Linked DNA regions of Cricetulus griseus. The protein of the gene in region 2 binds, or shares a complex with, the protein of the main gene of each other region. Links are inferred from orthologs where the notes say so. Each region holds a gene or a part of one and is shown on either strand. Other genes may lie near its edges.

Region 1 (9,952 bases), on a different chromosome or scaffold from region 2:
TCATGTATTTCACACAATAAAAATCAAGAGCCTGGCCTTGGTGGCACATCTATTATTGCACCACTCAAGAAAGCTCAGGCTAGAGGATCGAGTTCAAGGCCAGCCCTAGCTATGGAGGCACATTGTCCTAAATAAATGAACCAGTGAGAAATAGTTCTTCAAACAGTTTTTCTTTACAATGTTAGACTGCAGATCAGAAGATTAGACGTGGGTCATCTAAACAACTTAACTATTTCCAGCTCACTTCTTTCAGGTGTTCATACTCAGTGCCGTCTTCCCAAATACCAAAGATTCACTGAGGGTATGGGAGTACAGTGCCTGTAAATCCCAGCTACTAGTAAGACTGAGGTAGGAAGATACAGAGTTCAAAGCCAGCCTGGCAACAGAGCCCATTCAAGGCCAGCCTGAGCAACTTACCTTGTGTGCACAAGGCCTGACAGTCCATCCTAATACCAAAAGATACATAATACATACTATCTGAAGGAAGATTAAGGGTTAGATTAAATCCAGAGCTAATGTTAGTTGTTGACATACACTGCAAAAGCTACTGAGTGAGAGGCCTGCTAGTATTGGACTGAGACCCACCGGCACATTAACAGAACCTTCTTACCGGCTCTTCAACTTCTCCACTGGCATGCTGGGCTTCAGCCTGTAAGTCAATCGGTGGTGCATCTTCCACAATTCTTTGAACAGACATCTGAATAAATTCATCAAAGGAATCCAACTGTTGTCTGACCAAGCCTTTTTCATCAAAATAAGAACTGGGAAAATATTAAGTTCATAATCAGTTGCAACTCAGTTTGTTTTCTAGTACATTTCCCTATCTTCATTTAATCTAATTCAACAAACACTCAATGAAATGCCAACCAATATATGACAATCATTGCATAAGACCAGGAGTATTTTATTTGTAGAATTATTACATTTTGGAAGGGAAAAAATGATGGGCAAATTAATGAAAGTACAAGAACTACAGCCAGGAAGCAGAGGGAGGCAGATCTCTGGTCTACAGAGTGAGTTCTAGGACAGCAAGGGCTACACAGAGAAACCCTATGTTAAAAAAAAAAAAAAAACTAAAAATAAACAACAACAAAATGTGCAACACTCAGAATTGAGGCAGCAAGTTCCACGTCAGGCTGGCCTACACAATGAGACCCTGTCTCAAAAATGTAATTCACAAAAATAAATTCCAATAGATAGCCCTAGGTCCAGGATGAGAGAAAAAAAAATCTGTTTTGCTATAAAAATAAATGAGAAAACTAGCAAACTGTGGATAGATTCTGTAGGTTAAATAAGAGTACTGGAAGCTGGAGAGATGGCTCAGTGGTTAAGAGTACTGGCTGCTCTTCCAGCAACCACATGGTGGCTCAAACTATCCATATAGTGGGATCTGATGCCCCCTTCTGGCATAAAGGCATACATGCAGATAGAACACTGGTATACATAAAATAAATTTAAAAAATAATAACATTATTGTATAAATATTAATTTCTAAACTGTGACTATGTAAAAGTATCTGCTACATACTCTCCAATGTTTCCAGGGGGCTATGCACAGGAAGAGAAAAAAAAAAAGAAAAGGTAGGTCAGGTGTGATGGCACACACCTTTAATCCCAGCATTCAGGAAGCAGAAGCAGGTGGATCTCTGTGAGTTGAAGACCAGCTTGGTCTACAAATCAAATTCCCGGGACAGTCAGGGCTATTTCACAGAGAAACCCTGTCTAAAAAGAAGAAGAAGAAGAAGAAGAAGAAGAAGAAGAAGAAGAAGAAGAAGAAGAAGAAGAAGAAGAAGAAGAAGAAAGAAGAAGAAGAAGAAGAAGAAGAAGAAGAAGAAGAAGAAGAAGAAGAAGAAGAAGAAGAAGAAGAAGAAGAAGAAGCAGCAGCAGCAGCAGCAGCAGCAGCATAAGATAAATATTTAGGGGTTCCAATGACGAACATAAATTAATTCCTTAGCTTTTCTCTAAGATGGAAATATTTTAAATAAATAAATATAAGCCAGATATGGCAATGCACACCTACAATCACAGCACTCAGGAGGCTGAAGCAAGAGTGCTGCAAACTGAAAGCCAGCCCAATCTATAGTATCCAAAGCTGCACACAGTACTGTCTGGATAAAACAAAGCAACCCTGTAAGTAACTAATACAAGGTAAGTACATTAAGTAAGCACAGAGAAGGCTGAGATCTACCTATAAGGAACAGAGTAACAACAGGACATCCCTCACATCTTATAGTATCTACTAAAACATGTTCTGTTTGGTCTAAAGTTACCTGATCACAATCCAGCATGCTTCTTGCCACAAATCTGGAGTGATTTCATCATCATCCTCATCATATTGCATATCTGCAAAAACAAAACACTCTGCTCACTGGCAATAAGATGCCACATCCTCTCCTTGAATTTAGGTAATTTTCAACTCTCCAGTAAATAAAGGATGCTGTTAGAATGAGGTCACATGGTTTTATGATGTAGTCAGAAAATGCAATGCAGTTCTGACTTGTTTGCTCTGAAGCCCTGAACTGTAGCTAAAAAACTCCTAATATTCTCCCAACAAATCTCATGATCTTTTTTTGTCTGTTTGTTTTATGAGGTGCTGGGAATTAAATCTATGGTCTCACACATGCTGGGCAAGAGCTCTAACACTAAGCTATATCCCAGCCCTTCATAAACATTTATTTTTAATTATATGTGTGTGCATGCATGCACATGCGTGCAGGTGTCTACGGAGGCCAAAAGAGAGCATCAGACACCGTTGAGCTGGAGTTATAAGGAACTGTAAGTTGCCTAATATGTGTGCTGAGAACCCAACCTGGGACTTCTAGACTCCAGGAGCAAGCACTCTTAACTGCTAAACCATCTCTCCAACCACCATGAAAATTTTTTTAGGTAACGAAATTTGTTTTATCCCTCTCCCTATAGGTAAGGATTAGTAATTACTATTGTACAGCAACATTAATTTAAAAAAAAATGTATCCTTAAAAATTTATGATAGAATGTTTGTTGTACTTTATTTTTTTAGTTTGAACTATACAATTAGCCTATAAAGCTTAAGAGCTTTCTATTCAGAAATCTGATATACATTCAAAGTAATTTTAATACATGCTTCTGGAATGTTCTAGAATGACATGGAAAAAACAATGGTATGTAAATCAGCAGTGGTTTCTAGCTTTGTAAGTACTGAAGTATTTAATATCACTGCCATGTAGAAGTAAATTCAAAGAAGAAAAAAGGGGGGAAATGATAAGGGTGGCCCTACATATTTATGTAGAGCGTATTTTACTCTTTAGATACTTTTAAAAGGAACATGATACTCAAAAAAAAACTTTCACACTAGACTGGAGATGTGGCCCAGTGCTAGTGTTGCATAGCATGGACAAGGCCCTGCAGTCAATCCCAGACACCAAGGGGAAAAATTCCATACTACATGGAAAGTTGGAGTCATCAGCAAATTAGCAAAAAATAAGGAAAGTATATGCAGAGAAAGAAGACTAAAGTCAGGATATTAAGGGACATTTCTGTTTAAGAGTCATGTAAAGCTGTGTGTGGTGGCATATGCCTTTAGTCTCAGCACTTGGGGGACAGAGGCAAACAGATAGATGTCTGGGAGTTGGATACCAGCCCTGCCTTCATAGCATGCTACAGGCCAACTAAGAATGCATAGTAAGAAGCTGCCTCAAGAAAGAAAAAACAAATCACGTAAAGGAAAATAAGAAAATGAATTAAAGAAGAACATTAATTCATTCATCAAACATTTATTGACTATGAGCATTTACTATGGCCCAGGCACTAGAAGTCGTCATCCTTTACAGGATAAAGACGGTTGCACTATTACAGAGATTATCATCTATTGAGGAAATACAAACAAGTTGAAATCAACAAAGACAGAGTAATATGAACATTCCTAACCAGGACCCCAAGAAAATAAGTCATCCCAAAAACTGAAAACAGGAGTAGACCAGGCAAAAATGAGTCAGTGAATATGGGAGGAGTGAAGATGGCTCCTGTCCAAAAGACATCATAATGAAGATAGCATAGTATAATCTAATCAAGAAAAGGCAATGTAGGGTACTGGGGAGATAGCTCAGATGGCAAAGCGCTTTACTGTGCAAGCATGAAGACTGAGTTCAGAGCTCCAGCACCCATGTAAAAAAGCCAGGCACACACCTGTAATCACAGCACAGGGAAGGCTGAGACAGGACATACACATATAGACAAGCAGTGCACACACATTCACATTTTTTGAGACACACTCTCAAACAGTATCAGATATATTTCCTCTGTGTGTGTGTGTGTGTGTGTGTGTGTGTGTGTGTGTGTGTGTGTGTAAGAAAAATGGATACGGATAAAGTGAGTTGAGTCAACAGTAGAGTTTAGGGAACCTAACAGATCTCCCAGTTATCTAGTAAGAGATAGATATGCAGGACAACTAAATTGGAAATACAGCAGGGCATATTAGCTCATGCCTATAATCCCAGCACATGAGAGACTGAGGTAAGAGAACTGCCAGTAGTTCAATGCCAGCTTATGTAATGCACATAGTCAAGACCATGTCTAAAGAAACAAAAATTTGGTTGGGCAGTGGTGGCACAAGCCTTTAATCCTAGCACTTAGGAGGCAGAGGTAGGGGATCTCTGAGAGTTGGAAGCCAGCCAAGTCTACAGAGCTAGTTCCAGGACAGCTAGGACAGAGAAACCCTGTCTCGAAAAACCAAAAGGGAAAAGAAAAAAATAAACAAAAATGTATTCAAGTCATCCAGTAAATTCAAGTATGAATAATGGATTAGATCGCCAGGCGTTGGTGGCATATGCCTTTAATCCCAGCACTCGGGAGGCAGAGACAAGCGGATCTCTGTGAGTTCGAGGCCAGCCTAGTCTACAGACTGTGTACCAGAATAGGCTCCAAAGCTACACAGAGAACCCTGTCTTGAAAAAAAAAAAAAAAAAAAAAAAGACTGGATTAGATCACCCAGGGAGAATGTAAACAACAGTAATGAGTAAAAGAAACGGTAACAGTCAAGTGGAAGTGATGTAGCAGAGTAGATGAGTAGTTTTCAAGAGGAAATCGTGAACAATTTTGAATAGCACAGAAATAGGTGAGAGTTGGGTGGGTGAATGATGTTTTATCTGGTTGGTTGGTTTTGGGTCTCCAATTTAAAGATAATCCTCCACATTTGGCCTTCTGTGAGCTACAACAACTGATCTAAGTAAGTCTTGAAGCATCTATCTAATTTATCAAGTAAGAAATCACAGACCACTCAGAAAAAGCTGTTTTAACATAGGAGCATTAGCAAAATCAGATTATAATGGGTCACAGAGGTCCTGAGATGGAAACTAGAAACATTCTTAGGGCTGGTGAAATGGCTCAATGGGTAAAGATGATTGTCACATAGCTGAGGATCTGAGTTCAAACCCAGCATCTATAGGGTATGCTCCATGTGTGCACCCTGATACATACATACAAAATAAATAGATGCTATAAAAGTCTTAAAGTTTCTGCATTTCCTTCAAGTAAGAGTAATTTAAAAGAATATAACGATTTTAATAGAGTTCCATGAGATATGAATACAATTGAGACGTTTAAGAAATTTTAAAAGTTGAAGCTTTTGTTGTGTCTGAGTAGGATGGCCATAAAGTTGGAAGCTGGAACACAGAAGTAAAGAGGGAGCTTTAAAAAAAAAAATACAACATGAGGCCCAGCGGTGGTGGCTCATTTAATTACAGCATTCAGGAGGCAGAAGTAGGAGGATCTCTGACTGAGTTCCAAACCTGTCTCGAAAAACAAAAAAAGAAAACCTGAAGTGTGCCTATGAAAAGTGACTAGGCATGTCCTTGTGAAATGAAATACATACACAGCAAGGACTATGTCATCTCATGGTAAGAGACTACTAAAAGGCCATCTTTTAAGGCATTTACTTTAACTGAAGACAGTGTGAAGGAATGTCAACCCAGAACTCATTCTTTATCCTTAATATTTCCAGGGTATAACAGGACGTGGTCGAAAATTGAGCTACCCGGGACTAGGAATAATGGCTCAAGAGTAGAGTACGTGCAGGACCTGGATCCAATCCTCTGTGACAGTATTAAAAAAAAAAAAAATACCTAGCTATTCAGCAAGTTGACTGGGGTGCAAAGGAAACCAATCAACGTCAAAACACCCGAACGTTAATAAGCACTTGCACACTGTCGTTCCTGGAAGGTGACAGCAGGTTTAACAGGAGGCCACGCAGGGAGCAATCGACCTGACCCGGGAACGTGAATCCTAGGTTTCCCGAGCCTACACAGCCAGCAAGTCCAGCGCGTGAGAACAGGGCTGCGGGGCGCGCGTCCCGGCCGGGATGGGGTTGCTGGCGCAGGTCCTCCATCCCTGCAGGTTCCCCCGCCGTACCGCCTAAGAGGCTACCGCGAGGCGTGTCTCACGTGGTCACCTACCCTCGTCGGCGTCATACATCTTGGCCAAAGGTTTCTGGTCCTCTTAACTCGAATTCACAAAGCTGGAGGCGAAAACTGCAGCGGCAAACTCTGGAGAGTAAGAACAAGCAATTTCCGTCTCCGGCGTTCCCAGAATCCTCGGCGTCTAAGTGGGGCGGGGGAGCGGGGGGGGGGAATCGTGTGAGATCTGCGCCTGCGCAAACGGCCGGCCGAGCCTGGCGGGGGCTTGAACTGCGCAAGTGCAGATTTTGGGTCGCTCGGCTACCGCTGAGGACCGCTCTTTAGGCCGGAAGTTGGACCCGGTTAACGTAGTTTCTTGTTGCGTGTTCTTGTAGAGTTGTTGCACAGATGACGCTTGATTGGCGTAAAGGGGATTTATGAAAGAAAAGCTCTGGGTGTAGGCAGAGCACCCACGATCATCTCCTGCCCACCCAGCTCTAGTGCGCGCCTTTGCACAGCGGGGTGAACTCTCGGGTCTCGGAGCCTTCATCGCGAGAAAGCCAGGGTTAGTCACGCCGTTGGACAGTTCCCTCGCCTCTCGTCCCTGATTTCCGGACACGCGCACGGGTGCGCGCCCGAGGCTCCGCCCACCTCACGGCCGTCCGCATGCTGCCTGGCTTGCAGGCTTGCAGGCTGCTGTGCGGGTTCCTGCGGGGCCCGGCGCCTGCCGCAGCGTGCCATGGCCCTGCCCGGCGGCTCCTGGCGGGGAAGCGCGAAGCCGCTTTCTCCCAGAGCCCATCATCCCTGGGCCGCCGTCTGCCTCCAGGCTCCACGGCGACCGAGGACTATGAAGAAGGCCCCGACACGGAGGAGCGCTTTCTGTTCCCGGAGTACGTCCCGGAGCGGGACCCTGAGGAACTGCTGAGAGAGTTGCGGGAGTTGCATCAGCGGCAGCAGGATGAGGAGCGACAGAGGTTGCAGCGGCGGGAGGAGCGGCTTCAGCGGAAGCTGCGGGCGGGTCTCCGGAGTCTGCAGGTCCCCGAGCTTCCAGAAGCCACGGTGCCACCCAGCGGCATCTACTGCTCGGGCTGCGGGGCCGAGCTGCACTGCCAGCACCCCAGCCTGCCCGGCTACCTGACGGAGGAGAAGTTCCGCGGTGTGACCCAGGCGGACGGCGGACGGGCGCGGACCGTGTGCCAACGCTGCTGGCTCCTGGTGCACCATCGACGTGCCCTGCGCCTGCGGGTGAGTCGAGAGCAGTACCTGGAGCTGGTGAGCGCCGCGCTGCGGCGGCCGGAACCCGCTCTGGTGCTCTATATGGTGGACCTGCTCGACCTGCCGGACGCCCTGCTGCCCGACCTGCCCAAGCTGGTGGGCCCCAAGCAGGTCTTCGTGCTGGGGAACAAAGTGGACCTGCTGCCCCAAGACGCACCCGGCTACTTGCAGCGGCTGCGGAAGCGGCTGTGGGACGACTGCATCCGCGCTGGGCTCGTGATGGCACCTGGCCACCGAGGACCGCAGTACCCCACCGGCGATGACCCTCGGGACGAGAAAAAGAATCCGAATCCGTCGACCAGGTCCAGCACCGTGATCAAGGACGTCCGGTTGATCAGCGCCAAGACCGGCTACGGAGTTGAAGAACTGATCTCTGCACTTCAGCGCTCCTGGCGCTACCGCGGCGACGTCTACCTGGTGGGCACCACGAATGCCGGCAAGTCCACTCTCTTTAACACACTCCTGGAGTCTGATTACTGCACCGCCAAGGGCTCCGAAGCCATCGACAGGGCCACCATCTCCCCCTGGCCAGGTGAGGCCCCGCTGTTGAGAAATCAGACTTGACCCAGGCACCTAGTACTACATCTACCCTTAAATGTCCACCTTGAACTACCTGGGGCTCTCCCTTTAAATTTCTTCTCTCCCCACTTTGCTCATACCTCTTGCGACAGTTTAGTGCTTAGAAATTCAATACGGTTGATTTTCTAATAGAAATGTTCCTAGGGCTGGAGAGATGGCTCAGAGGTTAAGAGCAACGACTGTTCTTCCAGAGGTCCTGAGTTCAATTTCCAGCAACCACATGGTGGCTCACAACCATCTGTTATGAGACCTGGTGCCCTTTTCTGGTGTGCAGATATACATGGAAGCAGGATGTTGTATACATAATAAATAAATAAACTCTTTAAAAAAAAAAGAAAAAATATTTCTAGAGGGGCTGGGGATAAAGCTTGGTTGCTAAAGTGCTTGACTATCATGCAGGAAGCCTGAGTTAGTCTGCAGTACAGCACAAACGAGGTGTGGTGGCAAGCCCTTGTGTCCCCAGCACTTGGGAAGTGGAGACAAGTGGATCCGGAGAACACCAAACCATTCTTGGCTACATAGCTGGAGGCTATTGTGAGGTAGATCCATAAGCCCCTGTCTATTTAAAAGAAAAAAAAAGCATCTGTGTTCTTCTTACTCCTAAGACCCTTCTTTCTTCACCCTTGAATGTATTTATTCTTGGAATGTTAGACTAAACATATGAAAGAGTTGATGTGCTATGACGTGGAAATTTCTTGAGAAGAAATGTTAGTGTTCTGAGATAAAGAAACAAATAGCTTGGCGTGGTGTTTCCATCTGCCTGTCTGTCATCAGAACGCTGGGCAGGCAGAGCCTGAGGATGCATTTCAGGAGCCTCTCTGAAGGAAGAAGCTAGGGGGAAACGTATGTATATGGAGAGTTACAGTCTTAGGAATTAGCTTGACAGAAATGTGTCCCCTTGAAACCAGAGTTTTGGTCTTTCATACTTAAAACTGCCTATGGTCAGTCGTACAACCCTAGATGTACTGGAGGATAAATGGTGAAATCGGGGGTAAAACACACCTGCAAAATTTGTACCCAAATTCCGAGTTAGCCTGTGAACCAGTCACTAGGCCTATTTCCTCGTTTGTAAAGTAGAAATAATTACATAATGGTTGTCATGAAGGCTAAATGAAATAAACCAGAAACATTTGCTTTTCTTCTTTCATATTCTTTTTTTGAAACCCTTATTCTTGGTATTTCAGGTACTACATTAAACCTCCTGAAGTTTCCAATTTGCAACCCAACTCCCTACAGAATGTTCAGAAGACAAAAAAGGCTTAAAGAAGAGGCAACCAAAGCAGAAGAAGATCTTAGTGAGGAAGAACAAAGCCAGCTCAATCAACTGAAAAAGCATGCTTACAAGATAGGTATGCATCTTCCAACTTAGGAAAAGTCTTACCGGTTCCATGATAAAGTTGTTTAGACTTGCAGTGCGGCCATTGGGACTAACCATTTTTTTACAGGAAGAGACTTCCTTCCCTGTTCTGGAATATAGGCTTTTTGTAGGAAAGGTTACTGTTGCTTGGAAACCCAAACTAGCAGAGGCAGTAAAGGTCTTTAGCTAACTTGTCCATCTCCTTTGTATCTCTCTTCTGAGTCCATTAATGGGAAAGAAGGATTTCTAACACTATTTGTCTGAAACACAACTGACCGTGCAAGAGAATGACTCGTGTTATCTTCCACAAAGACGACAAAAGCATCATCATAGCCACAGTTTCATATTTATACACGTAACTTTAGTGGCTTATT
Region 2 (9,893 bases):
TTGCGACAGGAACTGGTTATACAGGACGCCTGGGGTCGGGTGGGCGGGCAGGAGGTGAGAGGGGCTGCGGTGGCCATGGCCCCTCCCCTCTGGGCGGCGTCTCCGCTGGGGCAGCAGGCCACAGTTTTAAGAACGGATTCTCTACGGATCACTGTGGATAACCTTAACACCCGTGGCATCCAGACGTTCGAAAAGACAACAGAATACCACAAGAAAAAACCATGCAAACCTACCCGGGGAGATGACTGGATTTCCCTGCCTCCTACCCTCACCTGGCTAGTTTGATCCAAACCGCACCGATTTGGGACATAGTTCCTGCTACCGATATATCACAGTAAAGGACGGGCTTTTCTCTCCCCCTCTCGGGGTGGGGGTGGAGGAAGGGAATAAAAAATGCACAAGACCCTTCTCACTCATCGCGGCCAAGTTGCTGACCTTACCTCTTTAGTCAGTGACCAAGATTAGGAGGTCAGCAGAGGCCACTCACCTTCCGTGAAACGAAGTCTGTCCCTTTCCAGCTCCCACAGCCGGATCTGGTCTGTAATGGTGGGAGGCAGCACAGGAGTCTGCGGGCGGACAAGGGGCGGAGCTATAGGACCCAGGGCAAGTGCCTAAAGCAGTCTCTGTGGGTTGGCTGACCCGCTCTCACCCATCCTCTTCTTGCTGGGTGCCCAGGCTGCCAGCCTCCAGCATCCTGGTACCCATCCATACCTGTTTGAGCATCACCGGATGGGCCCTGGTCCTTAGGAAATGGATGATCTGGGAAGACACAAGGATGCAGAAAGCCATCAGGGCAGTCACCGAATGCCACTGCGACAGCATCTCCTGTATTTGCCTAGACACGGGGACCTGACAGACCTGAGGCTATGCTCCCATGGCGGGGGTACCTCCTCCCACCTTGACCTCCACTTCAAGTAGGGATACCTGCTGGGCTGTGATGCCGCTGGCGATGGCCTGCTGCACACTCTCCCGGGTCACCTGTGCCACCACCATGTTGGGGAACCGGTAGAGCATCTCAGAGAAAAGTGCGATGAGCGCAATCTGTAGCTCCGACTCTGGCCCAGGGGTGAAGAGCCGTGAGGAGGCTGCCCATGCCTGCCTTCCTCTAGCCCTGCCCTCAGGTGTTAGAAGAGATACCAGAGGGCTCCTAAACCACACACACACACACACACACACACACACACACACACACACACACACACACACGGCCATAACCTCCAGCCTCACCAGTATAGGCATACAGTCGGTAATTGGTCTCCACGACAATGAAGCCTGGCTGATGCACACTGCCCCCGGCCCCAGAGACACCGGATGAGAGATTGATGGCCAGGCGTGTGGGGTAGTAACGCCGGGACTTCCTCTGGAAGGACACGGGGAAATACAGTCCTCTCTCAGGTCACCATCCTGACAGCTTCCTCTTAGACATCAGATCCCCCAGTGCAAAACCACCAACCTTTAACTCCCCCCCTCAAATGACCCAAGCACTCGGGCCTGGCAAGGGCTTTCTGCTGCACCCCAACACCCCACTCTCCTCAAAGCCAGGTGGCTGGGTGTGCGTACCTTCCTCTGGAAAACAAGCCCGAACTCACGCAGGTGTTGTAGGAAGTTCAACAAAGAATCACTCATACCCTCTACAGAGTAGTCCTGGGGGAAGAGATGGCCAGCTGGGGGCTGTGACTCGTCCTCCCACTCCCCGCCCAGCCCCCTGCACCCCTCCCCCTTTTTTTGCCTTCTCAGGTAGTTCTGTGATCATTCTATCTCTCCATGACGTCTCTTTACCTGCCTGTCCTCCACCCCCCTACTCACCTTGCCCAAAGTAGAGAAGCTGAGCTGGAAGAGGAAAGAGAGAATCTCTACCAGGTCCATGCCCCGACTCTGAGGAGAAAGGGGCAGAGCAAAAGGAGACATGAGAGAGGGGATGAGGCAGTGACGGGCAGAGTCTGGGGTGGTTGTGACTCAGTGGGACCTGAGAAGATCGGGCACACTGCCCTAGGCCCTGGCTCGTACCTGGGCGGTCTGCAGATACTGCAGCATGAAGTACCAGAGCTGGGCCGACGTGTCCAGCAGCAGGAACTGGAAGCCAGCAGAAGTGATACAAGGTGGCTCTCCAGGTTCAGCACTAGAAATGGAGAGAGGCGACGGTAGCGACATGCACAGAAGGGCTACCCGTTTCTGGTTACACCTATTCAAACCTCTTTCCCTACCCAACTCCCTTCACTCCCTCCTAACCCCAGGCACCCACTTTATTTGAGACCCGAGTGGCTGTGCCCTCCCCTCCTCACCTTTTCATGAGCCCAGCCTGGCTGAGGAGCTGAGCCAGGTCCTGGCTGACAGCTGCACTGGGAGAGCCCACCATGAAGTGCAGGACCACCTAGAGAAGAAAGGATCAGACAGGGGTCTCAAGGGCTCCCGGGAATGGGGGCCCAGCGGAGGCACACAGGGGCCGGATCCTCACCTCCCAACGCTCCTCAGCATACTTGTCAAGTGAGGGGACGTCCCGGGCATGCTTGTCTGGTCCCAGCTGACTTGTGTCATCAGACCAGGCCTTGCCCCTGTGGCCAGAATGGGCAGGAGTAAGGAGCCCTGTCTGCTTCCTGCTTCCCCACAGGCCATGAGAAGGGGACACTTTCTACACCCTACACCTACACCTGGTCCAATGCACTTTTGAAGGAGCTCCCCCCCCCCATCCCTGTAGTCAGCAGTTCCCCTGGCCTAGCTCAGGAAGAGAGGGAAACTACATACCCACCCAGAAGGGCGATTCGGAGGTTCTGGCGGAAGATGGGATTGAGGATGAGGCCCTGGAGTCCACCAGGGAGCAGCTGGGTGTGCCAAATTCGGAGACCACTGAGCAGTCCTGTGCTTTCCTCCTGAGCCCTGGACAGAAGCAGAGGTGAGGGGCAGGTCACAAGCAGAAAGGAGACCTCCAGGGGGCTCCATTTCTACCTAAACTGGTGGTCCTTGGAACAGTGTTCCAGGGTGCAGCTGTGTTTTCTTATATCAGATGCCTGTACTACAATGCTAAATGGAGCCTAGTTCGTTGTTTTTATTATTGTTTCTCTCTGTTTTGTTTTCTAAGTCAATCCCCCTCCTTTTTTTTTTTTTTTTTCTTTTTCTTTCAAAAGGGTCCTATGAAGTCTCAGACAGCCTCAAACTTACCATGTAGCCCTTGAATTTCTGATCTTCCTGTCTCTACCTCCCAACTTCTGGAGCTGTTTTTTCATTTTCTTTTGTCTTTTCAATTTTTTTTTTGTTAGCATACAACTAGTTAGTTACAGAAAATCACAACTCTCTAAAAGGGGAAACACTGCAAGTATACTCTGGGGGGGGGGGTGTTCCCTGTGTAGAGCAGAGACTGTTGAGACGCCCTAGGTTTGATCCTAGATCCTGTGTGAGTCGTGGATGTGCAGTCTGAGAATGCAGCCACCGGGCAGCAGGCTGTACTTGGGACTCACTTGCTGAACTCTTTCTTCACCCACAGGGCCACCGCAGCCTGTGGCAAAGGCTGCTCCAGAAAAAGCATCCGCATCACCCAATTCTTAGCCAAAGAAGGGAGCTCCCTGTAAAGGTCAGAGGCCAAATGTTACCAGAAGCTGCCTCACGCCTGCACCTCTGCCCTCTTTTGCCTCTCAGGCATCTCACCCCATCTCCCACCTCGTTTTAGATTGCCACACTTTGGAGTAATCTCTAACAGGCTGGTAGTCACACTAGGCTAAGCCTCTCCCCATGAGTAACTAACTCCACTCTGCAGAGCCCGTTACAGTCTCCAAACCACGGTCCTCGCTTTGAAGGGCTCCTCACCTGAAGACAGCCAGGCAAGTGGCTGGGTGCCCATACAAGCGGTCAAGCACCCCGGGGCTCAGGCCCCCTAGGAACTCCTGTAGATTCCTGCATTGTAGGTGTGCTCGGTTCAGTCCACCCCTTGCAGGGGTGATCTCCATCACCTGAGAGGTACACAAGTCAGAGGTACACCCCCACAATCCAGGCCAGTGTCACTCTGACTCCAGACCTATCCGGTCCACTCTAACCCATCAGTTCTATACCTTTCCTCTCTGGTACCACTCGTCACCTATTGCTCCCAAACCCCGCATGTTCCTGCTCCTTCATCAAGCCCCTCAGGATCACTTTGAACTTTCTGGGATTGCAGGAACGTAACATAGCTGGCCTTTCATCCCGCTTCTCTTCTAAAGTTCAATCTTCTCTCAGTCTCCAACTGGTGGGATTTTCCTTCTTTGTGTACGGTCCTGAGGACCAAATCCAGATCCTCACCAGTGTGGACAAGGGACAACATCATTTATTGTTCCATACTTGCAAAATTGTTTTTGCATTATCAACGACGCCCCAGATTCATCTAAGCAGTGACAAAGATGCTAATTTGAACACAGCCTTCTCTTTCTCTCCTCCACCCTCCTGGTCGGATCAGTCTACAAGTTCCTAATCTGTCAAGACAGGGCTATAAATTACCTCCATGCTCACCAATCTAAATCCCTTTCTATCCCTTTCCCTCCAAGCCAGCTTCACCCTTCTCACTGAGACCACGCGGTGCAAGCTCCGCACTTCCCCCTGGCTTTCCTTTCACGCCAACTTCACGCCCTCTCACAGCCCCTACCGCTCGGATCTCCCTTGCGTACCCCGGGTCACGAGCCGTCGCTTAATCAGAGCCAATGTCTCGCATTGGCTTCTGGAAATAAAAAGACGAGAAAAAACGGTGGGAGAACCAGGAAGTCTTTCACAGACAGGAGCCAGGCAAAAACCAGTCCAATGGGAAGGGAGAGCAGGGTTAAGTGTGAAGAGTAAAGGGGATGAGAATAAGTGATGCACTCGCCTGCCGCTTGGCATGGTGGGAATTGTAGTCCTCTCCTCGACTCCATCGGAGCAACGCAAGGAAGGTTTGACTACAATTCCCGAAAGGCACAGCATGGAAGACCAACTGAGAGAAGCTGGCTTTTCATTGGATTCCCCCAAGAACACCCTAAGACAGATAATTTGGTTCCGCATCTCTCTTTCCCTAGCAACTAAAGCGAGTCTCTCTGTCCCGCCCACACAGGAGGCGCACCCACGGCTGCTCAGGGGTGGTGCGTTAGATTTAGAGACCTCAAACCTGGGTTTCTAGACCTCTGATATTTCTCATGCACAGCATTTGCACGAGGCAGGGATTAACACAGTCCAGTTCGCCCTTATTTGGCTACTAAATGCTCAGTCTTAATCTCTTCCTCCACGGCCCTTCCAACTCCCAAGAAGTTAGAAGACTCCATTACAATTTTAAAAAGAAAGCTGCGGTTTACTCTTATTTATGAATTTACTGGGAGAAAGGACAGTTAATGAAAGGCATCAACTAAGGTCAACTATAGTTTCCCCAATTCTTATGGGGCAAATTCTGGTGTTTGCTTTTTGTTTCTGTGTATCCCTGGGTTTCTCTGTGTAACCCTGGATGTCCTGGAACTCGTTCTGTAGACCAGGCTGGCCTCGAACTCAGATCCACCTGCCTCTGCCTCTCAAGTGCTGGGATTAAAGGCGGTGCCACCACTGCCCAGTTTAAATTCTGTTATTCTTATATCACAGAATACCAAACCCAACAAGAATAAGAAATCTGAGCTGGGCGGTGGTGGCGCATGCCTTTAATCCCAGCACTCAGGAGGCAGAGACAGGTGGATGGATTTCTGTGAGTTGGAGGCCAGCCTGGTCTACTGAGTGAGTTCTGGGACAAGCTTTAAAGCTACAGAGAAAACCTTTTTTTAAAAAATAAATAAATAAATAAATAAATAAACAAACAAACAAATAAGCTAAAGAACAAAAGCAACTGAAAGAAACAATAAAATCTTTTTTTTTTTTTTGAGACAGGGTCTCTCTGTGTAGCTTTGGAGCCTATCCTGGCATTCACTCTGGAGACCAGGCTGGCCACAAACTCACAGAGATCCACCTGCCTCTTCCTCCTGAGTGCTGAGATTAAAGAAGTGTGCCACCAACGCCCGGCTAGATAAGAAACAATAAAATCTTAAAGAAAAGAAAAGGGGGCTGGAGAGATGGCTTAGTGGTTAAGAGCAGTGTCTGCTCTTCCAGGGGATCCGGGTTCTATTCCGAGCACCCACATGACAGCTCACACCTGTCTGTAACTCCAGTACCAGGGGATCTTGTATCCTTACACCAATGCACATAAAATAAAGTTAAATAAAGTATTTTTAAAAAAAGAAAAGAAAAGGAAGAAAAAAAACCAAAGCTAAGTGTGGCGTTATGAGCCTGTAATCCGGCACTGGGTGGATAGGTGGAGGCAGGAGGGTCAGGAGTGGTGGTGGAGCACAACTTTAATCCCAGCACTCAGGAGGCAGAAGCATGCAGATTTCTGTAAATTCAAGGCCAGGCTGTCCTACATAGAGAGTTGCAAGACAGCCGTAAAGAGAATCTGTCTAAAGAAACAAAACCAAAAACCCGGCAAGCTGCAAACTTCTGATCTTACTGCCTCCATTTCTGGAGAGCTGAGATTACAGGCAAGCATTGCCACCCCAGCTTCTACAAGCAATTTTAATATGATTATTCTTTGACCCAGTAAAGCCACCATTAGAATTGCGTCATTCAAGTCGTGTGTCTTGGCATATGTCTTTAAACCCAAAACACATGAGGCAAACACAGGCAGATCTCTGTGAGTTTGATGCCAGCCTAGTCTACAAAAGCAAGTTCCAGAATAGCCAATGATGTTTTACGGAGAAACCCTGTCTCGAAAAACCTAAAAAAGAAATACAGAATTGTATCATGCTGAAATCTTCATCCATAGAATAGATTAGATGCAGAGATAACAAAGACACTTCCTGAACCCAATGGCAAAGGCTCACCAGTCTGTGTCAGCAGCTGGTTAGATATAACACAAATCATCCCAACAAAGTGGAAGGCTGGGCAACCCTGATAAAGGAGGGGTCATATGTATACTAAGGCCTTGAACTACACCCTACCTACTCATCAGCAGAGGGAGAAATGCGAATTACTAAGTGGCTTGAACAGCCCACAAGAAACTTTGATATATACATACATGGAAGGTAGGCTGGGAAGGTGACTAAGTGACCAAAGGCACTAGCCATGCAAGTGTAAGAGAACCAGAGTTCAGCCCCCACAACCCACATAAAATATTGGGAGTAGCCACCCGCCTGTATGAGATGGGATTCTCAAAGCAGCTGTCTAGAAAACTATCCCTATCAGAGAACTCGGGGTGAATGGGAAACCCTGCCTCGATGGATAAGGTGAAAGCCATGGGGGTGGTTCAACTTGACTCTGCTTTGCAGAATTCAGGAGAGGAGGCTACACGGAGCACAGACTGAGATCTTCAATCTGTCTTAGAGAGAGAGAGACAGAGAGACAGAGAGAGAACCTAATGATGCTTCCCTAACTCTATACTTTTTATGTTAGCCCTTGAAATTTTTTAAATGAATTAAGCCCTGTGTTCCTTAAATTGGCCGTTTTGCAGCTTACAATCTCACAGCCGAGGAGAGACATGTCGTAGGGACCCACACACATAAATACATGTGAAATAGGGCATGCAAGGGAACTAAGAAGAGATCCATGGGCTGAAGAGCAACACTGGAGAGCTGACCTGTCCAGATGAGATTGTTGAAGGGCTGGCAACACAAGAAAAAAAAACAAAAAACAGAGAACACTGTTCCAGGACAACAGCACGCTGCAGAGGCCACATGCCAGGGGGAGGTCTGTGGCCTCGGGGAAACGGAAAGGACAGTATTGTACGCAGGAGAGTGTGCTGAACAGGACAGCCAGCCTTGGACAAGGTTCTGTTCTTAAAAAATCAATCAGAAGCCGAGCATTGGTGGTGCACGCCTTTAATCCCAGCACTCAGGAGGCAGAGGCAGGCGGATCTCTGTGAGTTCAAGGCCAGCCTGATAGGCTCCAAAAAACTACATAGAAACCCTGTCTTTGTTTGAAAAAAAAAATCAATCAGAGATGGACTTGGTGGAAAACGCTTCGAATATAAGCATTCAGGAGACTGAGGCAGGAGGACTTTTAGTAGTGAGATCCTGCTAGCAAACAACAGCCGGGCATGGTGGCACACACAATGTGTGTGAGCTCAGGAGGCAGAGGCCCACAGGTCTCTGTGCTCAAGGACAACCTCATCTACATAGGCAGCCAGGCCAGCTGTGGCTACTCAGTGAAACCCGGCCTGAACGAAGCAACAGCAGGATCCAGAAAAAGGACTAGGAGTATAGGTCAGAGGTAGAGTGCTCGCTTAGTGTGTCCAGGCCCTGGGTTCAACCCCCAGCATGGTAACCATCATCATCATCATATAAAATACACATATATACATAAAATAAGCAAGATGTGATAAAGGGATGAGTGAAATGGCTCAGAGGTAAAAGCAGTTGCCACCACACCTGAGTGTTACACCCAGGACTGACATGATGGAACTAGAGAACCAAATTCTACACACACACACACACACACACACACACACACACTGTGGCAATGCATACACAGCTCCACACACATGCATGCACACACTAAATAAACAAATGCAATAATTTAAAAAATGCACGCCACAGAGGACCAGGTGTGGTGCTGTGCGCCTGCAATTCCAGCACCTAGGAGGTGAAGCCAGAGGCATCGGTTCCAGGTGGTCCCCTGTTCCACAGCAAGTTTGAGACAAAGTCTGGGCTATTTAAGACCATAAGATCCAGACTCCAAACAAAGGTCACCGTGGTGGCAGAACTGAAAACAAACCAGAGATCGACAGAAGCAGTCCTGGGAGACTAGTTAGGAGATGTCTGCGTTTCGGCATGTGCCAGGGCAATGGAAATGTCGAGAAAGAACAAAGATCTGGCAGGCAGACCTATGAGCTTCCTGCTGGACTGGACTCATCCTCCAGAGTGGCTGCTGCTACAACTGTGGGAAAAGGGCAGGTTTGGACACGCTGGTCTGAGCGCCACAGGAACCTAGAGTTACAGCATTCTAAAGCTTACTTAGAGCAAGTCTGGGCACAGAGCTCTGGGAGCTATGGCTCCCTGCCAGGAATTCCATTGCTTATTATTCTAAAGTCTGACCTCTGAACTCTAACCCATCAATGTCTGTTTTAATCTTAAGGCAGTAGTCTGACCTCCGTAGCTTTAACGAGACTGTTAGATGTGTGACCTGGGCCCTGAGAGCCCAGTAATTCAACCTCAGATTTAATTAGCTTTACTGTTGTCCTCTCATTATCCACTCTGCTCACTTTGTGAATATCGTCAGCCAAAACCCCAGGGTCCTTATTTCTCAGGAATGGCTATGCTTTCTCCAAACCTGCAAATAGACTGTTTTTTGCTTACCACCCAAAGTGAATGCTAAGGCTTTCACGGTGGCTGCAGCTCATACTTGTAGGACTGAGATGACCCCAGGCTCATCCGTATGGCTTCCACTAGACAGTTCAAACCCTAGAGACATATGCATGCTTTCAAAACCTAACCCAGGGCTGGAGAGATGGCTCAGAGGTTAAGAGCGCCGACTGTTCTTCCAGAGGTCCTGAGTTCAATTCCCAGCAACCACATAGTGGCTCACAACCATCCATTATGAGATCTAGTGCCCTCTTCTGGTGTGCAGATATACACGGAAGCAGAATGTTGTATACATAATAAATAAAATCTTAAAAAAAAAAAACCTAACCCAAAGGTCACCCACATCTCTCCAGCCCCTAGGGTCCTAGGATTTGGACAAGGAAAAGAAATCACACCTTTATTGTTGATAACCTCAAACTAAAATCTAGCTCTGCTCTCTGTGAATGAGAGTGAAACTCCTAGTTGACTTGACACCACTGCTTATTTATTTGCTTTTAATTATTTATTCATTTAATGTGCATTGGTGTTTTGCCAGTATGTGAAGGTGTTAAACCCCCTGGAACTAGAGTTACAGACAGTTGTGAGCTGTCATGT
Region 3 (9,454 bases), on a different chromosome or scaffold from region 2:
AGGACAGCTAGAGCTACATAGTGAGATCCTGCCTCAAGATGGAGGGAAAAAGTTTTTTATACTAAGATTTTCTAATTGAGATGATGATGAGGATCCAACCTAGGTTCTTTTTTAAAGATCTATCTATTATTTATTATGCATGTAGTGTTTGTTCTGCCTGCATGTATGTCTGCATGCCAGAAGAAGGTACAAGATCTCATTACAGATGGTTGTGAGCCACCATGGTGGTTGCTGGGAATTGAACTAAGTACCTATGAAAGAGTAGGCAGTGCTCTTACCCCTGAGCCATCTCTCCAGCCCCCAACCTAGTTCTTAAAAGTACATCTTCTAACACTGGTTCAAATTCCCAACCCATCATACTTTAAAATAATTATATATATCTTATTACTTGTGTATGTGCGTGAATATACGTCACATGCCTGTGGCTACCCTTCCTAACCAAAACAGGGTGTTGGATCCCCTGGAACTGGAGTTACAGGCAGTTTGGAGCCACCTGAAGTGGGTTCTAGAAACAGAACTCTGGTGCTCTGGAAGTGCACTCTTAATGATGGAGCCACTGCTCTGCCCCAACACACACACATTCCTAAATTCTTGTTTCATTTTTATTAACATCAACTGGTCTACCTACTGGGATGAGAGCCCATCATGCCAATGAAGCCTCTATGATAAACAGAAATACTGACTACATGTAATGTGCATACTCAACTCCCCTACTTTCTTATATCAAGGACGTAGCAACCAAAATTCCTAACTGAGGTTTAGTGTGTACTTCAGTGGTTAAGAGTGCTTGCCCCGTAAGCATGAAATGAGAACCACGAGAAAATGAAGAGAAAAGAAAAGAAGAAAGGAGAGGGGGGATGGGAGGTGGCAGCTGCAAGAAGGAAAGCTAATTCTGAGGTCTGGACCTACTCTAGCAGCAGGGTTAGAAGTGAGCCACAAGCCATTACTATCAACTGTCCAGATTATTTTGTGATGCTTGCAAAGTGCTAGTTGTATTAAAGTCTAAACCAATCCTCTTCAATGAGGATTGAAACCCATTAGTGGGTCAAAAAAAGTCAATATTGAATTTTTTATGAAAACCAAATGGAAAGGGAAATGCAACAAAAGAAATTGTTTATTTGTTATACAATGTGCACCGAACTTAAACATTATATTCTGCACAGTTAACAGGATTAATTTTCTCACAGAAGGTAACCAAAACCTCAAAAAATAAGATCAGGGGTTGGAGAGAAAGATCAGTAGTTAGATGCCCTTCTGCTATTCCAGGACCCAGGCTCAATTCCCAGCACCCATATGGCATCTCCCAATAGTCTATAACCCTAGTTCCTAGGGACCCAATGCCCTTTTCCAGCCTCCACAAGCTCCAAAGCACACAAATGGTGCAGCCATACATGGAAGCAAAAAACACATAATCATAGATAAGGGGAACTTCTTTTAAAAAACAGCAGCTTGGTCCTGTACAATTACCCACCCCATTTAGTGGAGTAGAAGCTTAGGGTGTCCTATTTGCCATAGACTGGCTGCTACTCTAACTTGTACTTTTATTTCTTATAGTAATAACTACTTTCAGTGAAATAACCTGAGACTATTCCATTGCTTTTACTCTGCAGTCTTCTAAAATGAAACATCAGAGTCCCATTGCCTCAAAGAAGAGCAGTCACTTAGGCTGGGCATGGTGGTGCCATGTCTTTAATCCATAGCACTTGGGAAATAGAGGTAGGTGGATCTGTGAGTTCAAGGCCAGCCAGGGCTCCAAAATTGGGGAGGATATTGCAGTCACCCCCTATGCATATTAGAAATAGTTCTATTTTTTAATGAACTCCTTCATGAGGAGACTACTTTATTCAGGACCTTACAGATAACTAAGAATTTAACAGCTACTTAGCATTAACATCAAACAAAATTGGAAACATAATCTATTATTTTCTATTTTCTGTATAGCATTCTACTGGCATTTTAGGCAGAGTATGTCTGTATCATTCGGGATGGTCCCACGGGAAACGCAACATTCCTAGTTCTTGCCTCCTAAATGAACATGATCCCACATAGTACCAAAAGTTTTGCAGGGGTTGAACTAGCCAATCAAGGAATCAGGCCTTAGCTATCATGGTTAAGTGCTCTAGTAACTTAACAAATACAAAAATAATACCATATAACTAAGCACCAAGCTTATACCTTCAAGTAAAATTTGATTTATTCAATGTTTATATCTTATCTTCATTTTTTAAAAAAAAAAAAAGATTTGTGTACAACTGTTTTGCCTGCATGTATGTCTGTATCTGATATCCACAGAAGTCAGAAAGCATTGAATTTCCTGGAAAATGGGAGTTATGGATGATTGGGAGCCTCCATGTGGACACTGGAAATTGAACCCAGGTTCTCTGTAAGCAGCAAATGCTCTTAACTGCTGAGCCATCTCTCCAGCCCTTCAATTTCACTTCAGTACAATTTCAACTGTATCACAAAGTTCCAGGTTCTAAATATCAGCTGTTAAAACAAGGTTATATTGTTTTGACAATAGTAACTATATTAATAGTGATGAAATTAGCAATACTAAATTGTTAAATATTTCTTATGCTTAGAAAATTGGAGGAGCCCTTTTACTTTATTTCTATTTACTCCCTTCCCCACAAGTAAACTATTAATTCCAGGATACCCACACTTCAGCATTTTTTGCCTAGGTATCTAAAACTGACATGAAAATTGAATTTCTGTTCACAAAAGACAGAGGTATATAACTGTATGTGCTACTGGGTTTAATAACTGAAGCTTATTTAGTATTCTACAGTAAGTACATGCGTAGACATTATCACCTGCTTCTTTAGAGAAGAACAACCTGAAGAACAAGAAGTCAGGCAAGTTATTCAAGATCAACAAACAACAGAAGGCAAAAATAGGGTAATTACCACCCAGAAATCTCGTTTCAGTGTCTCTCAATACTGTACCCTGGGCACTTCACTGGCCTCTCCCTAATGCTGTCTCTCCCTAATGCTGGCTCTAATCCACGCTTCTGATCTAACCACACTGTTAACTTCATCTACTTTCTATTTCATTGGCTACTTGGGGAAGCTAAGTTCCCTAACAGTGTTTGGAAGCTCTGAAACGAAATGAGTTGTACACTTTATCCAGAAGCTAGGAATTTTGTGGAACCAGGAGAGTTGTTTAAAATTTCTAGCCCAGCATCATCCTGCTGGAGAACGGGTAGTTCTCGGTTTGACTTAGCTAAAGGTGGTAGAAATGTGGAAGTACGCCTGTTAGCTTAGCACACAGATGGTTCACATTTCCACTACTACTAGCCAGCAATGCTCTTGTCAAAGAGTAGGTAATTATTCAATTTATAGTCTAGACACTTATATGAGTAGATCGCCTTATCTAGGGGTTATTAGGGTATGTTTAGAAAACTGCTTCTCAATTTGGGGTGATTTTGCTACTACTTTCTTAGGGAGATTAGCAATACAGACATTTCTGAACACAACAAAAAGTGCTACCGGCATCCAGTGAGCAGAAGTCACTTCTCTGCTAACATCCTATATGCAACAGCCAACCAATCATGTCAACGTGTATGTCAAAAGCACCAAAGCTGAGGCACTAAACTAGAGACACATATAACCTGAATTTTCAGACTCTCTAACTGAGGAATCTATTTTATCAGCAGAGGCATACATAGGTATGTGGCTCGGAGACAGAACATTGGCCAGAAATGCACAAGGCTCTATGTTTTATCTCCAGCAATGGCAGGGGGGGAAAGTTTTGTTTATATTTCAAGTTGTCCTTGCTATTTAGATATAAGCAGGTCTGACAAATTGTTTTTAATCATTTACTAATCATTTACTTTAGGTTTTTATTTTTTTGTTGTTGTTGTTTTGTGGAAAGTTTTATTGGGGGAAGGGATGGGAGGGGAGGAAGAAAGAAAGAAAGAAGAAAGGAAGGAAGGAAGGCAGGCAGACAGGCAGAGAAAGAACAGGGTTTTGATTTTACAGGTTCTTTGGTTTGATAGGTTTTTGTTTGTTTTGCTTTGTTTCTGTTTTAGACAGTCTCACTATGCAGCCCTAACTGACCTAGCACTATGCAGACTAGGTTGGCCTCAAATTTGTGCAGATTCTCTTTCTTACTTTCCCCTGAGTTGCTATTGTTCACTTTGACAAAAATTTCTAGTGTTACTCCCACCCATTTACTTGCCGATCCACAATCCACTTAAATACAAGTTTATCAACTATATCTTCTGTCTCTCCTACCTCCCATAGTTCACACATCAAAGTGAGCTCTTTAACAATTTGGAAATGATCCCAATAGGTGGGCTGATTTTTTTTTTTTTTTTTTTTTGGTTTTTCAAGACTGGGTTTCTCTGTGGCTTTGGATGCTGTCCTGTTACTAGCTCTTGTAGACCAGGCTGGTCTCGAACTCACAGAGATCCACCTGCCTCTGCCTCCCGAGAGTGTTGGGATTAAAGGCATGAGCCACCAATACCCAGCTGATTTTTTTTTTTCATTTTAAATCATGACATTACTTGCAGTATTTAGTTAAACTTTAAATTACAGGCTTTCTCACCATGCACCTCAGTGCATAATCTAATTTACCACTGTATCTGATTGCCTTAACAACAGTCTGATAATCTGTTAAACAGTTTAAAAGGAGAAAGGATAGTACAAAATCAAAGTCCATTAGTCCATTATAAATCATAAAATATACAATGGATGTTAACCTTGTTAACAAGAAAATCTGTATAGCTCAATGCAGTAATCACTAGCCACATGCAGTCATTTAACTTTAAATTAAGTAAAATTAATAAAAAATGTATTGCCGGTTCCTCTAATCACATTCCAAATGCCTAACAGCCACATGTGGCTAATGACTACCATGCAGCAGACGACAGACACAGACCATTTCCATCAAAGTAGAAAGCCATCCCTGGACAGGGCCAGTGTCCAACTGTTAAATCTAGGGCACCTTCTGAAAATGCTAATGAGGGTCTGAAAAAATTTAGTGCAGAGAATTAAGTTCATTCTGGTCCAACAGCTTTAACTCTTATTACAACCCAAGACATGAGAGTATGCCCCACTTAACAGCAACAAAAATAGCATTGTTAAGATTCTGAAGCCACATCTGCCATTAACCAGTTCAGAAAATTTTTAACTGAGTGCCAGCTGCACATGCCAGGTATTATGGTAGAAACTGAAAATTAAAAATTGAGTGAGTCACTTTCAAATGTAAGAAACATGAAAATAAAATTATTTAATTTCTCCAAGACAACTCAGTTTCTCTGAACAGAATGCCTTACAGTTATGGGAACCAGTTGGAACACTGAATTCTCCAGACTGTAACTTACAAAATCAGAGCAAATAAAGATCCTGGATTGACCCCTACTACAAATCAATTAAAGTCTTTAGGGCTCATTTCCACACCTTTGGAAATTTTATCTTCTACATAAAGTCACAGAAGTGTAAGAACAACCAGTCATTACAGAAAAGTGTAAAACACTCCCTGGTAAACTAAGGATCATGCTGTTTACCTACTCTTCGTGGAACTTAGGTACTTTAAACTTTTCCATGCTGTTCCAACTCCTGCTTCAGAGGAGGTATTCTAATACTTGCACCCTTAAGCATTAATAAATTTACATTTCTCTCCAGTTAGCATTACTCATCTCATTGAAACTTGACCACTGGCTTCTCACTGGACAACTTTTGTATGCATGCATGTGGAGCCTTCAGAGGATGTAAAGTTTTCCTCCCATCACTTTCCACCTTTGCCTAGGGACAGGTCTCTCACTAAAACCTGGAGCTCCAAGTTTCAGGCCAGCCAGTGAGCTCCTGGGATCCCGATGTCTCCATCCCCCAACTACTGGGTGACGGGCACATATGGCCATGCCTGGCTTTTATGTGGTGCTGGAGATCTGAACCCAGGTCCTCTTAATTTTAAGAGCAACCACTCAATGAGTCATTTCCCCAACCATTGTTTTGTTTGTTTGTTTGTTTTGCTTTGTTTTGATACAACTTTTAAATTAAAGAATAAATAACTATGAAATTTTCAAACTTGGGTATTTAGTTCAACCAGTAGAAAAATACTCCACAGTTTCATGTCATTCTATCCCAGGAAAACACAATGGCTATCTTTTTCAAGTGTTTTGCCTGCATGAATGTTTGTGTACCACTTGTGCCCTGATGCCTGTGAAGGCCAGAAGAGGGCATCTCCTGGAACTGTAGTTGCACACTGTTGTAAGCCACCATGTGAACTGAACCCTGTTCCTCTGGGAAGAACAGCCAGAGACTGGACCATCCCTTCAGTCCCCACAAATGACATTTTAAAAATCTAAGTATTTCTGCATCAATTTAAGAGAAAAACTAGCTCTCAGTGTTTAATAAATAACAAATAAAGCATTTGGCACACAAAGGACTTGACTCTAATACCTAAATTCTTTTATCAAGCATTTATTCAATCCCTCTAATATAAACAAATTGTAGAATACAAATAGAGTTAAGACTACAAAAAAATGTAAAAAACTGTTACTGACATGCCAAGTAATTGGACCATAAAACACTACCTGTGAATAAGTAAAGCTATTATTAGACATTTTGATAGGTATTCTCTGATTTATCACATTTAATCCTGAGAACAACCATCTAAGAAGTCTTTATTACCAATTCCTATCTTAAAGGGAAAGAAACTGAAATGCAATTTCTCTGCCCACAGTCAGAGGAAGAATAGTTGGCACAGCTGGGGTTTAAAATCAGTACTGTTTACTAGACTACAGCATCTCTGCTTAACATCAGTCATCCTATAGAAAAGTGACTTACTAATGACTACGGAAATGTGTTTTTCTAAAGAGACAAACAAAACTCACAGTTTTCAGTTCCATCAGGACTTGTTCATCCACTCCATCGTCCAGAAAGATGTCTCGAACATCATTAATAACATCTTCAATCACAGATCTGTACAATTTAGGCTTTAAAGGAAAAATAAGATTCAATAAAAGACTGATTTTGAAAGTTTAGCAGGCTTTAAGAAATCCTTAATTAGGCCGGGCAGTGGTGGCCCATGCCTTTAATCCCAGCACTGGTGAGGCAGAGGCAGGTGGATCTCTGTGAGTTCGAGACCAGCCTGGTCTACAAGAGCAAGTTCCAGGACAGCCTCCAAAGCCACAGACAAACCCTTCCTTGAAACCCCCCCACCCCGGAAAAAATCCTTAATTAAATATCCAATCCTTAAATACATAAATACATAAAACATTATTTGGCCTCATTAAACTAGATTTGATAACTACATCTTATAGTAATACAAAGCTATGCAATGCAGTTCATAAACCAAAGTTCTTTATACACAGGCAGTCTATACAGATTCCAGTTATAATTTCCTTAACTGTGAGCAAAATATGGAACCTCATGACTAATATTTATGATCATGTCTGGTCCCTACTACCCATGCTTGGTTTAACCCCTGCCTGATCTCATACCCTTTCCAATTTCATACATGGGGAACTTTTTGTTCACTAGTCAGTTCCTGCTGATCCCCAGCAGCCTCATCAGTATTTAGTGATACAAAACTTGTGTGTGTGTGTGTGTGTGTGTGTGTCTGTCTGTCTGTCTGTCTGTCTGTCTGTCTGTCTGTCCCCAGCCCTTCAAGCCACTCCACTAAACTGTACACGGGGCATATTAATTTTAACTTGGTAGGACATTTTTCCAAGAGAACAGATGTTTTCATGTTTCAGAAATCAGTTCCCCCAAAATCTTCTCCTTAGAGATTCAAACACTTAGGTACAAACCGGGTTTCACTGTGGTTGAAAGAAAAAAGGGAAATGCTTCAATTCTAAAATTGAGCCAGTTTTTGTCTTTATTGCATAAAAGTCATTTAGATCTGTCCTTTCAAAACACAGTATCCCAAACTTTGAAACCAGCAAATGAGAGGCCACATGTGGCATCATCAGTGATTCACTGAAGGGTTCCTTTTAGGAAATACTAATTTTCTAGCACAGTATTAAGTAAATGGGGTGGATTTTTATGCTGGACCCCATGTTAACCTGGTACAATTAAAACCACCACCTGACCTTTAATTCTTAAAATCCAATTCAGGGCATGCCTCTCCACTTCAATGTATTGTGGGCATAAGATCTCACACGTAAGCGTCTGTCACTATTTCTTTGAAAAGCTTTGTGCCTTGGGGATTTGTATTAAGAAAACACGATGAAATGTTACAAGCTGTGATTTCTAACATTTCCTGGATACCTGATGAACAAAACACTGCCAAGCCCAAGTCCTCTGCGGGAGAAACATTTTAAATAATACATATACATATACATATATATATAAGCCGAGAATGTTGAAGGCACCTCTTCAAGGAAGATAAAAAGAACAATCACCCTATGTCACCTAAAATGGTTTACCATTAAACTCTCTATATAAAGGGTTTTTGTTTGTTTTGTTTTGTTTTTTTAAGGCCAAAACGCTGCAGCAATTCTGACCTACTTCCCACTACAAACAAAGGCGGCATATCCTAGCTGTTACAGTAATAACACTCGCGGATTCGAGAAAGCAGCTTCCCGGCTCGGAAGCGAAATTTCGGCGTGAAGGGAACCTAGAAATAAATTGAGCTCCGCATGCGGGCGCCTCTCGCTCGGGAGCACGCACCTCCCAGCCCCGCGCTCAGCAGCTCTCACTATTTAAAGCCGGATCTGGTGTTTAAATGGAGAGGCGGTGACGTAGGCCTGAAAAGCACCTTCCCATCCTGGCAGAGTCTATATTAGAGAGCGGCAATGGCTCTATATAAACAGGGCAGCCAAAGGGAGGAGGACCACAAGGCGCAGGCACTGAAATGCAGGGTAAGCGGCCGCAGCCATGATGGATCTACCCGAGTCGCCAACGGTACGGTGTCGGGCAGCAGCGAGCTGCTCTGCGGCGTTTGGGACCGGGCAAAAAAATTAAAAAAAAAAAGAAACAAAAGAATAAAACAAAAACACGTGTTTTATTTTCATAATTAAAAAAAATCAAGTTGGGGGTGGCCTAGTGATCACACTGCGTTGGTGACTATTGAAAAGGTTATTTCTTTATGTGACTGCTTTTTGCAAACCTACGTGGATCGCAAGGAACCAAAAAAGGGAGCGGCGGGAAGAAGTAGGCAAATTTCAAGGCGAATGCGTGGACACTTGGGCCAGTCACTGTAAGGCTTTGTTTGTTCTGGTGCTTTTGCTAGTCGTAGGTACCACGGGTTTTTTTTCTTTTTCTTTTTTTTTTTCTTTTTGCTTCCCCTTCGCCATTTTACCCACTGGGGAGGAACCGAGATAAGTGCTTTCCAACCTTCATTTTTTTTTTCCTCTGGTTTTTTTTTGGGGGGTAGGATTAGCAAAATCGGCCCCAGCGCAGGCTTTCCAAAGCACCACCTCCAGAGAGCCCCCGAAGGCACGCCGAACTTGGCAGCGTCCGAGCGGCTGGCTCCCCAGGCTCGTGGGGGGGGGATCGACCGACCC

What was found.
Region 1: Gtf2h4 (region 2) and Polr2b share a complex: the UniProt entries of both Homo sapiens proteins name them as parts of the TBP-based Pol II pre-initiation complex. The link is inferred for Cricetulus griseus from reciprocal best matches to the Homo sapiens genes GTF2H4 and POLR2B.
Region 3: Gtf2h4 (region 2) and Gtf2a1 share a complex: the UniProt entries of both Homo sapiens proteins name them as parts of the TBP-based Pol II pre-initiation complex. The link is inferred for Cricetulus griseus from reciprocal best matches to the Homo sapiens genes GTF2H4 and GTF2A1.

Annotation. Positions count from the first base shown.
Region 1 is NW_023276807.1:143,690,907-143,700,858, reverse strand, and holds the start of Polr2b (DNA-directed RNA polymerase II subunit RPB2), read right to left. Parts: upstream 6,622-9,952; 5' UTR 6,447-6,621; coding exon 6,428-6,446; intron 2,343-6,427; coding exon 2,270-2,342; intron 762-2,269; coding exon 611-761; intron 1-610. Other genes in the region: Noa1 (nitric oxide-associated protein 1), read left to right, coding at 7,034-8,174, 9,406-9,570. UniProt on the Homo sapiens protein: Catalytic core component of RNA polymerase II (Pol II), a DNA-dependent RNA polymerase which synthesizes mRNA precursors and many functional non-coding RNAs using the four ribonucleoside triphosphates as substrates.
Region 2 is NW_023276806.1:229,575,555-229,585,447, forward strand, and holds the start of Gtf2h4 (general transcription factor IIH subunit 4), read right to left. Parts: upstream 4,798-9,893; 5' UTR 4,629-4,797; intron 3,942-4,628; 5' UTR 3,939-3,941; coding exon 3,799-3,938; intron 3,558-3,798; coding exon 3,453-3,557; intron 2,875-3,452; coding exon 2,743-2,874; intron 2,553-2,742; coding exon 2,456-2,552; intron 2,372-2,455; coding exon 2,283-2,371; intron 2,120-2,282; coding exon 2,008-2,119; intron 1,876-2,007; coding exon 1,807-1,875; intron 1,645-1,806; coding exon 1,561-1,644; intron 1,361-1,560; coding exon 1,228-1,360; intron 1,056-1,227; coding exon 925-1,055; intron 760-924; coding exon 712-759; intron 567-711; coding exon 488-566; intron 30-487; coding exon 1-29. UniProt on the Homo sapiens protein: Component of the general transcription and DNA repair factor IIH (TFIIH) core complex, which is involved in general and transcription-coupled nucleotide excision repair (NER) of damaged DNA and, when complexed to CAK, in RNA transcription by RNA polymerase II.
Region 3 is NC_048598.1:113,314,239-113,323,692, reverse strand, and holds part of Gtf2a1 (transcription initiation factor IIA subunit 1), read right to left. Parts: intron 6,941-9,454; coding exon 6,839-6,940; intron 1-6,838. UniProt on the Homo sapiens protein: TFIIA is a component of the transcription machinery of RNA polymerase II and plays an important role in transcriptional activation. TFIIA in a complex with TBP mediates transcriptional activity.